Astyanax mexicanus: one gene and its partners. The protein of the gene in region 2 purifies or fractionates together with the protein of the main gene of each other region. This does not show direct contact. Links are inferred from orthologs where the notes say so. Each region holds a gene or a part of one and is shown on either strand. Other genes may lie near its edges.

What was found. Proteins that work in one complex are often made in the same cells at the same time.
Region 1: the proteins of ppp2r2d (region 2) and ier5 purify together in Homo sapiens (affinity purification with mass spectrometry; 3 studies listed by BioGRID and IntAct, counting the BioPlex papers as one, with this or other methods). This does not show direct contact. The link is inferred for Astyanax mexicanus from reciprocal best matches to the Homo sapiens genes PPP2R2D and IER5.
Region 3: the proteins of ppp2r2d (region 2) and ecsit purify together in Homo sapiens (affinity purification with mass spectrometry; 3 studies listed by BioGRID and IntAct, counting the BioPlex papers as one, with this or other methods). This does not show direct contact. The link is inferred for Astyanax mexicanus from reciprocal best matches to the Homo sapiens genes PPP2R2D and ECSIT.

The regions. Positions count from the first base shown.
Region 1 is NC_064423.1:15,820,957-15,824,583, reverse strand, and holds ier5 (immediate early response gene 5 protein), read left to right. Parts: upstream 1-1,114; 5' UTR 1,115-1,559; coding exon 1,560-2,408; 3' UTR 2,409-3,024; downstream 3,025-3,627. UniProt on the Homo sapiens protein: Plays a role as a transcription factor. Mediates positive transcriptional regulation of several chaperone genes during the heat shock response in a HSF1-dependent manner. Mediates negative transcriptional regulation of CDC25B expression.
Region 2 is NC_064422.1:11,981,507-11,985,260, forward strand, and holds the start of ppp2r2d (serine/threonine-protein phosphatase 2A 55 kDa regulatory subunit B delta isoform), read left to right. Parts: upstream 1-894; 5' UTR 895-1,133; coding exon 1,134-1,140; intron 1,141-1,487; coding exon 1,488-1,562; intron 1,563-3,754. UniProt on the Homo sapiens protein: Substrate-recognition subunit of protein phosphatase 2A (PP2A) that plays a key role in cell cycle by controlling mitosis entry and exit. Involved in chromosome clustering during late mitosis by mediating dephosphorylation of MKI67.
Region 3 is NC_064415.1:31,116,240-31,119,993, reverse strand, and holds the start of ecsit (evolutionarily conserved signaling intermediate in Toll pathway, mitochondrial), read left to right. Parts: upstream 1-1,412; 5' UTR 1,413-1,589; intron 1,590-2,396; 5' UTR 2,397-2,414; coding exon 2,415-2,549; intron 2,550-3,129; coding exon 3,130-3,538; intron 3,539-3,754. Other genes in the region: eml3 (echinoderm microtubule-associated protein-like 3), read right to left, coding at 126-150.

The sequences.
Region 1 (3,627 bases), on a different chromosome or scaffold from region 2:
TCTGCTTTACCAAATTAAACCAGCTTTGTTGAATTGGTCAGGCTGAAAAACCAGTCCATTAACATTATGAAAAATACACTTATAATTGGCCAGAGCTGAGCTGATTAACCAGGGTATGTTTTCACCTGAATCACCAGCTTATTTTATTCGCCTTGACCAGTACATACCAGTCCAGACTATCTGAAATCAGCTGGGCTGTGTTTTTTAGCAGGGTTCTCACACTCTCCTCCACACACACTGTAAACACAAAACGTGTTACGTCACTCCCTGCTTTTCCCCGCGCGGTGTTTTGCGGGTTGTGACCTATATCGAGCACACAGTGGGAAAGATAACCTGGAATTGTTTACCAGAGGACCGCTGCGTATTTAAATGTATTAAGCCTTCGCGAGGCGTTCAGCTATTTCAGTCTGGTGTCACATTGGGCTTTAGCTGGGTCCTGAAACAAAACACCGCCTCCCCTCCCCCTCACTAACGGCTCCCATTCACATTTGCTCAGACACCGCAGAGGATTTGCACAATAGGACCACGTGACCCGCCTGTAGGAGACACAAACCATTACATCAGTCCAGGATGTTGGCTGAAAGCAAGGAGAGTTAAAGGGGACACGGCCATTTTTATTTAACAGCGGTCAAAAACAAGACATTGCACGCCTTAAAATAGCACAGTCTGTGAGATTTTACAAAGTGAGTTGTATTTTAAAAAGAAAACCACCATTTCACCGTTTTAGCTATATTTATGTTTGTAAGCATGATTTTAGACTCGTATCAGTCGTTTTATAAATGATAATACAGATCCTCAGTGTTTATAGCCACCATCAGAAGATAATTACAGTCTAAGAGCCCAAAAATACTGCTGTTAATTTTACACGTAATTTTTTTAGTTATTTAATTTTTCATTGATGTTTTTAGTAATAATTCGGTTGCTCAGCCTAAAAACATTTCGGTCTCTTTAAATTTTTCTCCCACGTTAGTATTTAAATATGACTAATCTGCATCCCGCGTTCCGATTGGTCCGCAGTGGTTTCGCGGGGCGTGGTTGACAGCGTCGGTGGCGTTCAGCGCGCGATGTGATTGGTCAGCGTAGCCGTTACGTCCGGGTATAAAAGCGGTCTAAATATAGAAACGGTCTCATTCCTCTCTAGGCTGTTGTTGGGTGAGAGAGACCGTACGGAAGGTAATGCAGGCTTATAGTATAACCCAATAACATAGAATTATCAGTATTACGTTCTTTAACCACAGAAATGTGGCGGTTGGTTTTATTTATCGTATCAAGTTGATAAAACGAGTAGAGAACCATATTTTTTCCTAAATTAGAGGAATTGTAAGGCTTCTTTTATTTTAAAATAGGTTTTATTTTCATTTAAAAACTACTTGAAGACCAAGTGAGTGTTTCTAAAGCTTGTTGGACCATTTCTTTTGACGTTTTTGGATGGACAATGTTTCAATGAGACTCACACTTGAAGGAGAACAAGCCTGCTGACAAGCCTTCTCTGACTGGAGCTGAACTTTGAAACTGCTTGTATTTATTTTGCTTCGAGTGTTCCTGAATCGAGCCTGACCATGGAGTATAAAGTGGAGGCCCATCGGATAATGAGTATCTCCCTGGGGAAAATTTACAACTCCCGGGTTCAACGAGGAGGCATCAAGCTCCACAAAAACCTCCTGGTGTCTCTGGTGCTCAGAAGTGCACGCCAAGTGTATCTGAGTGATTACTACAGTGGGGTTTGCCTCAACACCCAGCATGTTGAGGCCAAGGAGTGGGAGCTGATGGATTCCAACCAGGAGAAGCCACTCACTCCAGCCCCTGAGGAATCTCTGTCCCCATCAACTGACTGCAACCAGAATCCTGTGGTTCCAGAGGATCCTGAGGTTCAGCACACCAGCCAGGCTGTGGAAGACTCCACAGATCTCCACAGCGTCTACTCCAAACATCAGGCCGAAGAGGAGTCTTCCTCAGAGGATTCTACTACTGATGTTTCTCTCACATCTTCTCCTGTGACCTGTGAATCTCAATGTGAAGCTAAAGGAGCTGAAGTGAGTTCTTCGGACTGTGAGGCGGATGCTAACCCCGCCACGGTCACAGAAGGGAATTCACAGCAACCACCGAAAGCTCACTCTTGTTCAAACAGGAAGCGCACTGCTGAGAAGACAGCCAGCAATGACTCTCCTGTAAAACGGACAAAGGTGACTTCCTCAAACTCCTCTGAGGAGGAAGCGGAGGAGATGGACACGGGCAATGTCTCTAATCTCATCACAATCTTTGGCTCTAGTTTTTCAGGACTTTTAACCAAGGAGAGCTCTGAGCCTGAAGCAGAAACAGAAGACAGTGATTCAGGGTCAGGGCAGATCTGCTGTGACCAAATGCTAAAGAACCTGAACCCTTGGAGCACGGCCATCGTGGCCTTTTAAAAACCAATCACAGAACTTTGGTGGAAGTGTGGTTTTAAAAAAGGAAACCTGTAACATTCACACATGGCCATTTTTGTGCTGTACTTCTAGACTGGGTTCCCCCCATAACACGTGGTGAGGCATGTATGTGTGTGGTATGGGACTTCCCCTACATAAGTGGTGCTACCAAGCACAAACTGGGCCTGGTGTGTTTGGACATGCCTTTGTAAAGGAAAGAATGTGAACATGCTGGTACTGCTACGTAGAGCCCTGCCGTGTCAAAGGAATGAGGAGGCCACTGGAGTGAATTTGAACATTTACAGCCCTGCAGTGGAGAGAGGGGGGTGGTCGCTTCATTCAGTACTCCAGCAGTCTGAATGGGTGACGAGTGTGAAATGTTATGCTAATGACATCTGTACAAAGTTAAATGTTACGCTGATGTAAGAACTGACCACAACAACGGTCTACCAGACTTTGGGTGCTGGTTTTCTCTGTCTTTGTTTTAAAAAGACCTGTACATTTGTAACATTGTTCTTGTACATACTGCCTCTGATGTTGCATTATGAATCTATGTATTTTGGTATTTACTATGATGACAATTTACGTGGTGATCACGTATTAAACTTTTGTGAAATGATTTTGCTTTGTTTTATGTTTCTTTCCAGCGACACACTTCTGAGTAGACCAAACATCTCGGCCGCTGAAGCTAGACTGTAGCTAAAGTATTGTTCAGGAATCTGCTGGCACAAAATGCAAATTACTTCCTCCTGTTTTGAGAAATATTACTCAAGTTTCGAAAGTGATGTAACATTGTTTTTTATGACTACTGTCAGACTATGACTCAGACCTGCTACACATTCTGAGAGCCAAACTTGCAAAGAAAATTCCAGCTATCGAAATACATTATCTTAAATGCACAGTTTAAAGTAGACAACCCTCCCACACTTACTTTTAAATCCAGCCAAACCTGGGAAGACCCGTGCCTGAGAACAATACCAGTGAAAAGAGAAGAAATGCTTAAAGTGCTCAGGCTCTGTTCTACTGAAACACTTTCTGTCTTCAGCCGGCCTGTTGTAAAATGAGCCATTGTGCCCTGAAGCATGTGTGGTATGTGGGGTTTAGTTTCAGTGCAGACTCTAAAGCCCAGCCTGACTCAGACTGTTTAGGGCTGTTTAACATGAGAGAAAGACGTCTTATTTACTTATGTTATGCTCAAATTGGGTTATTTTAAAGTTTATAA
Region 2 (3,754 bases):
GAGCTATAGCTATAGCTATGTTAACGCTAGCGATTCTGAGCTAACTTTAGGTAAGGTAGCCTTAGCTATAGTGATGCTAAGCTAACACAGGCTAGGTTAGCTCACTATCAGTTAGCTACATGCTAAGAGCAATGTTATTGCTAACCAGTAAACTGAGTAATAATGTTGAATTAGCTGTTAGGAAAAAGGTGTAAGAGGAACTTCTCATCTTAATTATAGAAGCTGGAGTCTAGCTGTATAAACTGTAAAATGTTCTGCCAAAATAGATTTTATGGTTCTGGTTTACCTTAAATTCTTTCAGAAGTAACTGATAAAATATTATAATTCTTGCACCAGCTCTATTCCCTCCACCTAAATAATTCAGCACATATTATTAAGTTAATGGCTGCCCTTACTAAATTGATATTTTGAAATTTATTATTTTAAGATAAAAAAATAGTTTTTTTGAGATACATCTTTATTTTAAGATACAAAATAATAAAAATAATGACTTAGTATCTCAAAATAATGAGAGAGCAAAACAATGATGTGAAAAAAGGTATGATATGAATGACTATTATTATTAACGAGTTCTAAATAATTTCTTAATAACTCTGTCTTTGTTACTTTTGTGCTTTAAAAAATTGATATATTTGAATTTATCACATAAGTTATTAGAGTGATTGAGTAATTTGTGCGTCATTATTATTATTATTATTATTATTATTATTAACTTTTTATTGCAATCTTTTTCTTGACTACTTTTTTCACATAACAACCTCACTACTTTTCCATTGTATATTTTGTATATTAAGTATTACATATTAAGTATTATTATTATTATTATTATTATTATTATTATTATTATTATTATTATCATGACGCTGCGCGCGCCCCCGGTCGGGGGTGACGTCACGGGCATCATGTCGACTGGCCGCGTGCGCCATCTTGAGAGGAATAAGAAATCTCGGGCGATGCGCGCGGCGCGCTGATCGGACCCGACCGGACCGGAGCGGAGCTTCTCCACGGTTTGGGCCTGCGCTGCGATTCCCCGTTACGGGCAGCGGAAGACCGGCGGGAACTCGCGGCCGGAGAAAGAGAGAGAGAGCCGGGGGCCGGGGACAGATCTGCTGCTGCTGCTGCGGAGCGACGCGATGGCAGGTTAGAGCTGAAGTTTGGAGGAGGCGGAGGAGCAGCAGCGGAGGAGGAGAGGAGAGGAGGCGGGAGGAGGCTGCTGGTTACCCGGACTGAACTGCTACTTCACCCGGCCTGGACCCCCCTGTCTCTCTCTCCCTCCCTCTCTCTCTCTCCCCATCTATCACAATGTCTCTGTATTTCTCTATTTCTGCAGAACACAAACAATCAATCATTCAATCAAGCACCCATGCATTCACACACACACATATATGTACACATATACACACACTGTACTGTACTGTTCATAATCGCAGTGCACTGAAATGTGTGTGTGTGTTCTCTGTGTGTTTCTGCGCCGCGCGCCGCTGCAGGGGTCGGAGGAGGGAACGATTTCCAGTGGTGTTTCTCGCAGGTGAAGGGGGCCATAGACGAGGATGTGGCGGAAGGTAAGCCCGGCGCGTGCCTCTATCTGCATCTTTATATGCATCTAAACCAGCGTAACTGTGGTGTTGATGTGCTGCTGCTGCTGGTTTAGTGCAAGAACGAACGCACGCACGCGGGTGTTTAACGTTAGTTTATTTAAGCGTGCATGCACCCCGGTGCATGCACATATATGAGCTAGTTAGCTAGGTTAGCTATATGTGCATATGTCTTCTCTAGCTAAGGTGGCTAACTAGCCGCTCGCTGACTGCTGACAGAGACTCGTGCTTGCTTAGCGTTAGCCTTAGCATTAGTCTGAGTATTAGCATTAGCCTGAGCTTTAGCATTAGCATTAGCCTGTGCGCGCGACTATGGGAAGTAGTAGCACTAGGGAGGAGGAGGAGGAGGGTGCAGGGAGCTGGTTAGGCCATGCAATTTGTGTTCGTAATTTCTCAGCATGGAAAATAGAACTCGTCCAGCTCGTTCAGCCAGTGCGTCTTTACGCACGAGCCAAACCCGAGCCCATAGCTCGAGCCTCGGGTGTGTGTGTGTGTGTGTGTGTGTGTGTGTGCGCGCGCGCGTGCAGGCGGGCGCTGTGTGGAGGGATGGGAAGAGAGGGATGATTCAGTGCCATGTTCCTCTCACCTCACACTCCAGCACAGACAGGGCTGTAGGGCAGCTGCAGGGAGGAGGTGGATCATAGGCTTTTACTTTATTTCAGTAATCTAGTTAAAAATGTGAAACTCATATATTATATATGCATTAAACACACAAAGTGATCTATTTTAAGCGTTTATTTCTTTTATTGTTGATGATTATGAAGCTTACAGCCAATGAAAACTCCCAAAATATCAGTGTCTCAGAAAATTCGAATATTATATATAAGACCAACTGGTACTTTTGGCAGTGTGCCAAGTCCTGCTGGAAAATGAAATCTGCACCTCCAAAAATAAAATCACAGAAATATTGAATTGATAATAAAACACAGTTGATCAACATCAGCAGATGACAGACATGTCTCTCTAAACAATCACTGATTGGTGGAAACTTTACACTAGACCTCAAGCAGTTTGGACTGTGTGTCCAAACTGTGTATATATGTGTGTATATGTGACTGTATAAAATGCAGTAAGTTTTTGAATAGACTTTTTAAAGTAATGTTCTAGTGAAATATTTAATCTTCCAGTAGTCTAGTATTCAGTAGTTTAATATAATTTATTTGGCTAATTTCTGTTGATCCATCTATCAGGAAATTTTGATACAAAAACTTGAAACTGAACTGCTTGAATTTTTGCACCAGGAATAAAGCAGCATAAAGTTATCCAAAAGCAGTGTGTAAGACTGGTGGAGGAGAACATGATGCCAAGATGCATGAACAAACTGTGATTTAAAACCAGGGTTGTTCCACCAAATATTGATTTCTGAACTGTATGTATATTATTTGAGGTCTGAAAGTTCTGCATCTTTTTTGTTATTTCAGCCATTTTTCATTTTCTGCAAATAAATGCGCAAAATGAGAATATTTTAATGTGGGAGAAATGTTGTCTGTAGTTTATAGAATAAAACAACAATGTTAATTTTACTCAAACATAAACCTATAAATAGCAAAATCAGAGAAACTGATTTTTATAAAATTGGTGTAAAATAGTTTATTTGGATCATTTCTTTGAAGTTACAAGGTTCTTTCCCCTTTAAACAATGAAATGTGCAATAGAGCTGCTTCTCCTTTTCTTCTTCTATAGAGTGGTGTATTTGTGTTGTATTATTGTAAGGTCAGTGCAGTGATCTGTTGTTTGCGTGTCTGTAGCGTGAGTTTACTCTGAGACGTGTGTAGCTGCTGTTGTGTCGCTGTGTGAGGTCACGCATAGGACGAGCAGAGACAGACATATTCAGAAATATCACACATTGAAATGAGTACAGCGCTCTGCTCACTGCATGCATACAATTCTGTCCAATCCGGGGCCAGAATGATGTGAAATAAAAAAAAATTAAAAAGGAATTTTGTGTGTGTAGGGTGGTTTATTGTGAGATGCTCAGTTTTGAGAAAATCTATTAACCCATAATTGATCAGTGTTTTGCTGATTATGATTGACATCAATTATTAGTTGTATTAATAGAAAATATCGATAATGGATTTTCTTTTCTCCAAACTTGTTGAATGTTGAGATTGTTTGTTAATGCACCTCAGTACACAAACTTCTGAGGCTGTTCACTCCCA
Region 3 (3,754 bases), on a different chromosome or scaffold from region 2:
CTGCAGTGTGTGTGGTGAGTGTGTGTGGTGTGTGTGAAGCGGAGTGACAGCGGCTCTGAGAGACAGACTGAGAGCAGGGTGCTCAGCTGAAGAGCGGCTACAGAGTGAGGGAGGGAGTTACTCACCGAGGCTGTTTGTTGATCCATCCATGTCGGAGTCGCGCGCTGCCGCCGCCGCCGCCGCTGCTGTTCACACCTCTCGGAAGTAGCAGCTCATGCTGGGAGAAGTGCAGTCCATTCCTGCCCAATATAAAAATCAGTACGGCGTTTAAGATCCGCGGTCCTCAAGTCTTAAAACACACTCACACACAGTGTGGACAGGAGCGCACGTGCGTGTGCGTGAAGTGAAGAAATGCAAGACCACTCCAAACTCCCCAACCCAGGAAATGAGCTGCGCAGCTGCGGAGGCGAGCAAGTGCGCGATGAGGAGAGAGAGAGAGAGTATGAGTGTGTCTATGACTGTGCGGATGGATTTTTTAATCCATGCAAGAGATATAAAAGCTGTAATCCAGTTAACTATGTTCACGCAAACTATTCCCCCCTCTCATTACTGAGACTCAGAACTCACTTATCTAAACTCCCGCTGAAGCGAGGCGCCACAGCTCCAGTTCAGCCCAGGAAAATAACCAAAAAAAAGAAAAGCAGAAAAGTTTTGACTGTAAAACTGCCAGTTCACTGCGTCCCCTGCCGACGATGCTGCAAACAACAGCCAGGACAAGAGGAGACATGAGGTCGCAACAGCCCTGCAACAGCCTAGAGGGCGCCAGAGAGAAAAACACTAAACCAATACCAATATTACAATGTTCTTTTGTCTGTTTTTGGTATCAATATTATTAAAAAAAAAAACGAATTAGGTTTTGTTTCTATTCATGTGTTGTTTTGTGTTTCCTGAAAAAAAAATTGAAAATAAGTTGATTAGGTGATTATTTTAGGATGGTCTCCGTGATTTCCTGGTGCGGAACTAAAGCGGCGGAACTATAAGCAGAAGGTGAATGTTTCCTGTGAGTGTGTGAGGACAGAGGACGGACCGGTGTTCAGTCGAGTTGTGCTACCTTGTCAAACCGTGCTACCCTAGTAGTATGTTTAACTTTAAAAATGCAAAAGAAGCACCTTATTAGAGCATGTTCTCAGCGGAAGTCTATGTAAATCTGTGGAGAGTATAAATCACTGTATTATTGTACAGTTTGTATAGTTGTGACAGTGAGAGGTCATTAGAAACTACTTTTGTATTAAAAAAAAAATAATTATTGTATTTATTATTATTAATTTCCATTTGTACTTTTTATGCAGTGGCAAGGAGTCGTTGTTGTTTAATGCACAAAAAACAGAATTTTTTTTTATTATTTATTTATTACACGAGAAATAATTAATAACTGTAGGTTAGCGCATGCGCAGTGCGTTTAGGAAGCACGTATCGATGGATAGCACAACTCGACGGAACACCTAGCCGAAGTATAGCTGGGTTATGGCGGCGTGTTGTGAAGGAGATGTGACCGCTGGAGATTTAGAGCTACAGCTCCATTAAACCGCCTTTAAACCGAGTCCAGACTCAGACTGCACCACGGGACACTATCTACCAGCCTGACCACGGTAAATAATCACACACACACACACACACACTGTATTAATACACCATGTTAACCCGGGTTAACCTACCGGCTCCGGCACAGGGTCAGTTACGGACCTGCCCGTATTAAATAACTACATTAACTTCAGATAACTTCAACTCTGAAAAAAATAAGAGACCACTTCAGAGGTTTTCAATTTGGTAAAATCAAAGGAGCTGTTTATCTAACGTTACCCAGTTATACCAGTTAACTGCATGTGCAATGTCAGTGCTTTGGTTTAAACTGTAACCACATTATTCTAGCTATGAGTGGATTAGAGCAGCTGTAAATTATATCATCATTTTTAGCTGTATATTAGTTATAATTGCCTAATTCTATAAGAGTTAGGTTGCTAATGTTAAATGTAATATTTTATACGTGTTATGTAATACTACATAATTCCTTATGCATTAGTTAGCTAGTTAGCTGTATCACTATTGTTATAGCTGTTCATTTTCTATAACTACAGTACTCTGTGTAACTATTTATGTTAGATAAGATTAATCAAGATTAATCCGTTTACAAGCCATGTTTATGTAAACTCACATTTGTATATTAAATGATTTTAGAAACCTAACTAGCTACTGTAAGGATTTCTTTCTTTGTTTTTATAGGTACATTTCATTATCGTGAATTGGGATAGAAAATAGAAATATTATACTGCCTTGTTTTCAGATTTGTTTCATTTTTACTGTATGCGATATTGATGATTGATTATTGATTATTAATATTTGTTAAGTGAAGTAAACTTAAGTGAAGTAAGTCCTATTCTATTCAATTATCTTTGCAGAAATAATGAAATCTCACCATGAAGATCACTAGATTTCTCATGCGAACCCAGCATGCTGGGTGGATCACTCTTTTCGTCAAGACACCTATCAAGCCCAGCTGTTTTCATGCGGCTCTCCTGCGGCCCCCAATCCCACGTATCTGCATTGGTCAAGTAAGTATTTACTTGACTGTTTGTGTTGACAGTTTAAAAGTACGACATGAACTAGCAGATTAGCAGGATTTTTACACAGATGCTACACTTTTTGTCCAAATATTTGTGGACACTCCTTCTAATGAATGCATTCAGCTGCCTTAAATTGCACCCAATAGAACAGGACTCTCTGGATCAGATACACAAATACACTGTTTGCACCATGCCTAATCAAGGTGTGGGCTAGACTGCTAACCAGCTAACTCACCAGGCATTGAGCTGTGGATCAGCAGGATTGTGTTCTCTGGAATTATTGTGCCTTTTTCCGTACTGTTTGGATGAGTTAGGGAAATGGAGATGAGGAGGCAGGGTGGTGATCTTCCAACGTTCTACCTTTACTAACTTTTTTTTTTGGTCACAGAATTCAATCATATTTTCACAGCAGTGCTCTAAAATGTCTTGTGTGCTTTCCTGGATGTTGGAGATTGTTACCTCAACTGGGACTAGATAAACTAGATTTAAGAAAATGAAAGAGCTGGTGTCTATATATGTTTGTTTGAATATGTATTTCTACATGTGCTGTTTTTTCTTTTGTTTTAAGGAGGCAAGATGGATTCATTGTGGTTCCACAGTTTACAAGGACAAGCCGGACAATTCAGATCTGAGCAAGTTATTTGAAAATGAAACGAAGGCCAAGTCTTTGGTCACACATGATGACTTGTTTGAGAGAACAGCTAAAGATGCAAAGAATAAAGCCAGTTTCAACAGAGTGGTTGATGTCTTCAACAAGCAGGACATCAGGCGCCGTGGACATGTCGAGTTTATTTATGCTGCTCTACAGAAAATGCCAGAGTTCGGCGTAGAGCGGGACCTTGCTGTCTACAATAAACTGCTGGATGTGTTTCCCAAAGAGGTTTTTGTGCCTCGAAACTTTATTCAGAGGATGTTCAATCACTATCCCAGGCAGCAGGAGTGTGCAGTGCAGGTGCTGGAGCAGATGGAAAATTATGGTGGGTTGTGTTTACCTTTTCTTTGGCCCAAAACTTACTTAATACTTATTAATCACATCTCATGGAATTTGCTAGGCTGGGGGTATCAGTTAAAAAAAAAAGAATAGGCCAGAATGCAAACCAGCACATAATCTTTGTTACAAAAAAAAAAAAAAGAAACATATTGAAATATCTACTTCTATAGTCTCCTGAATGGGTAATATGTCTTTAAGTTTT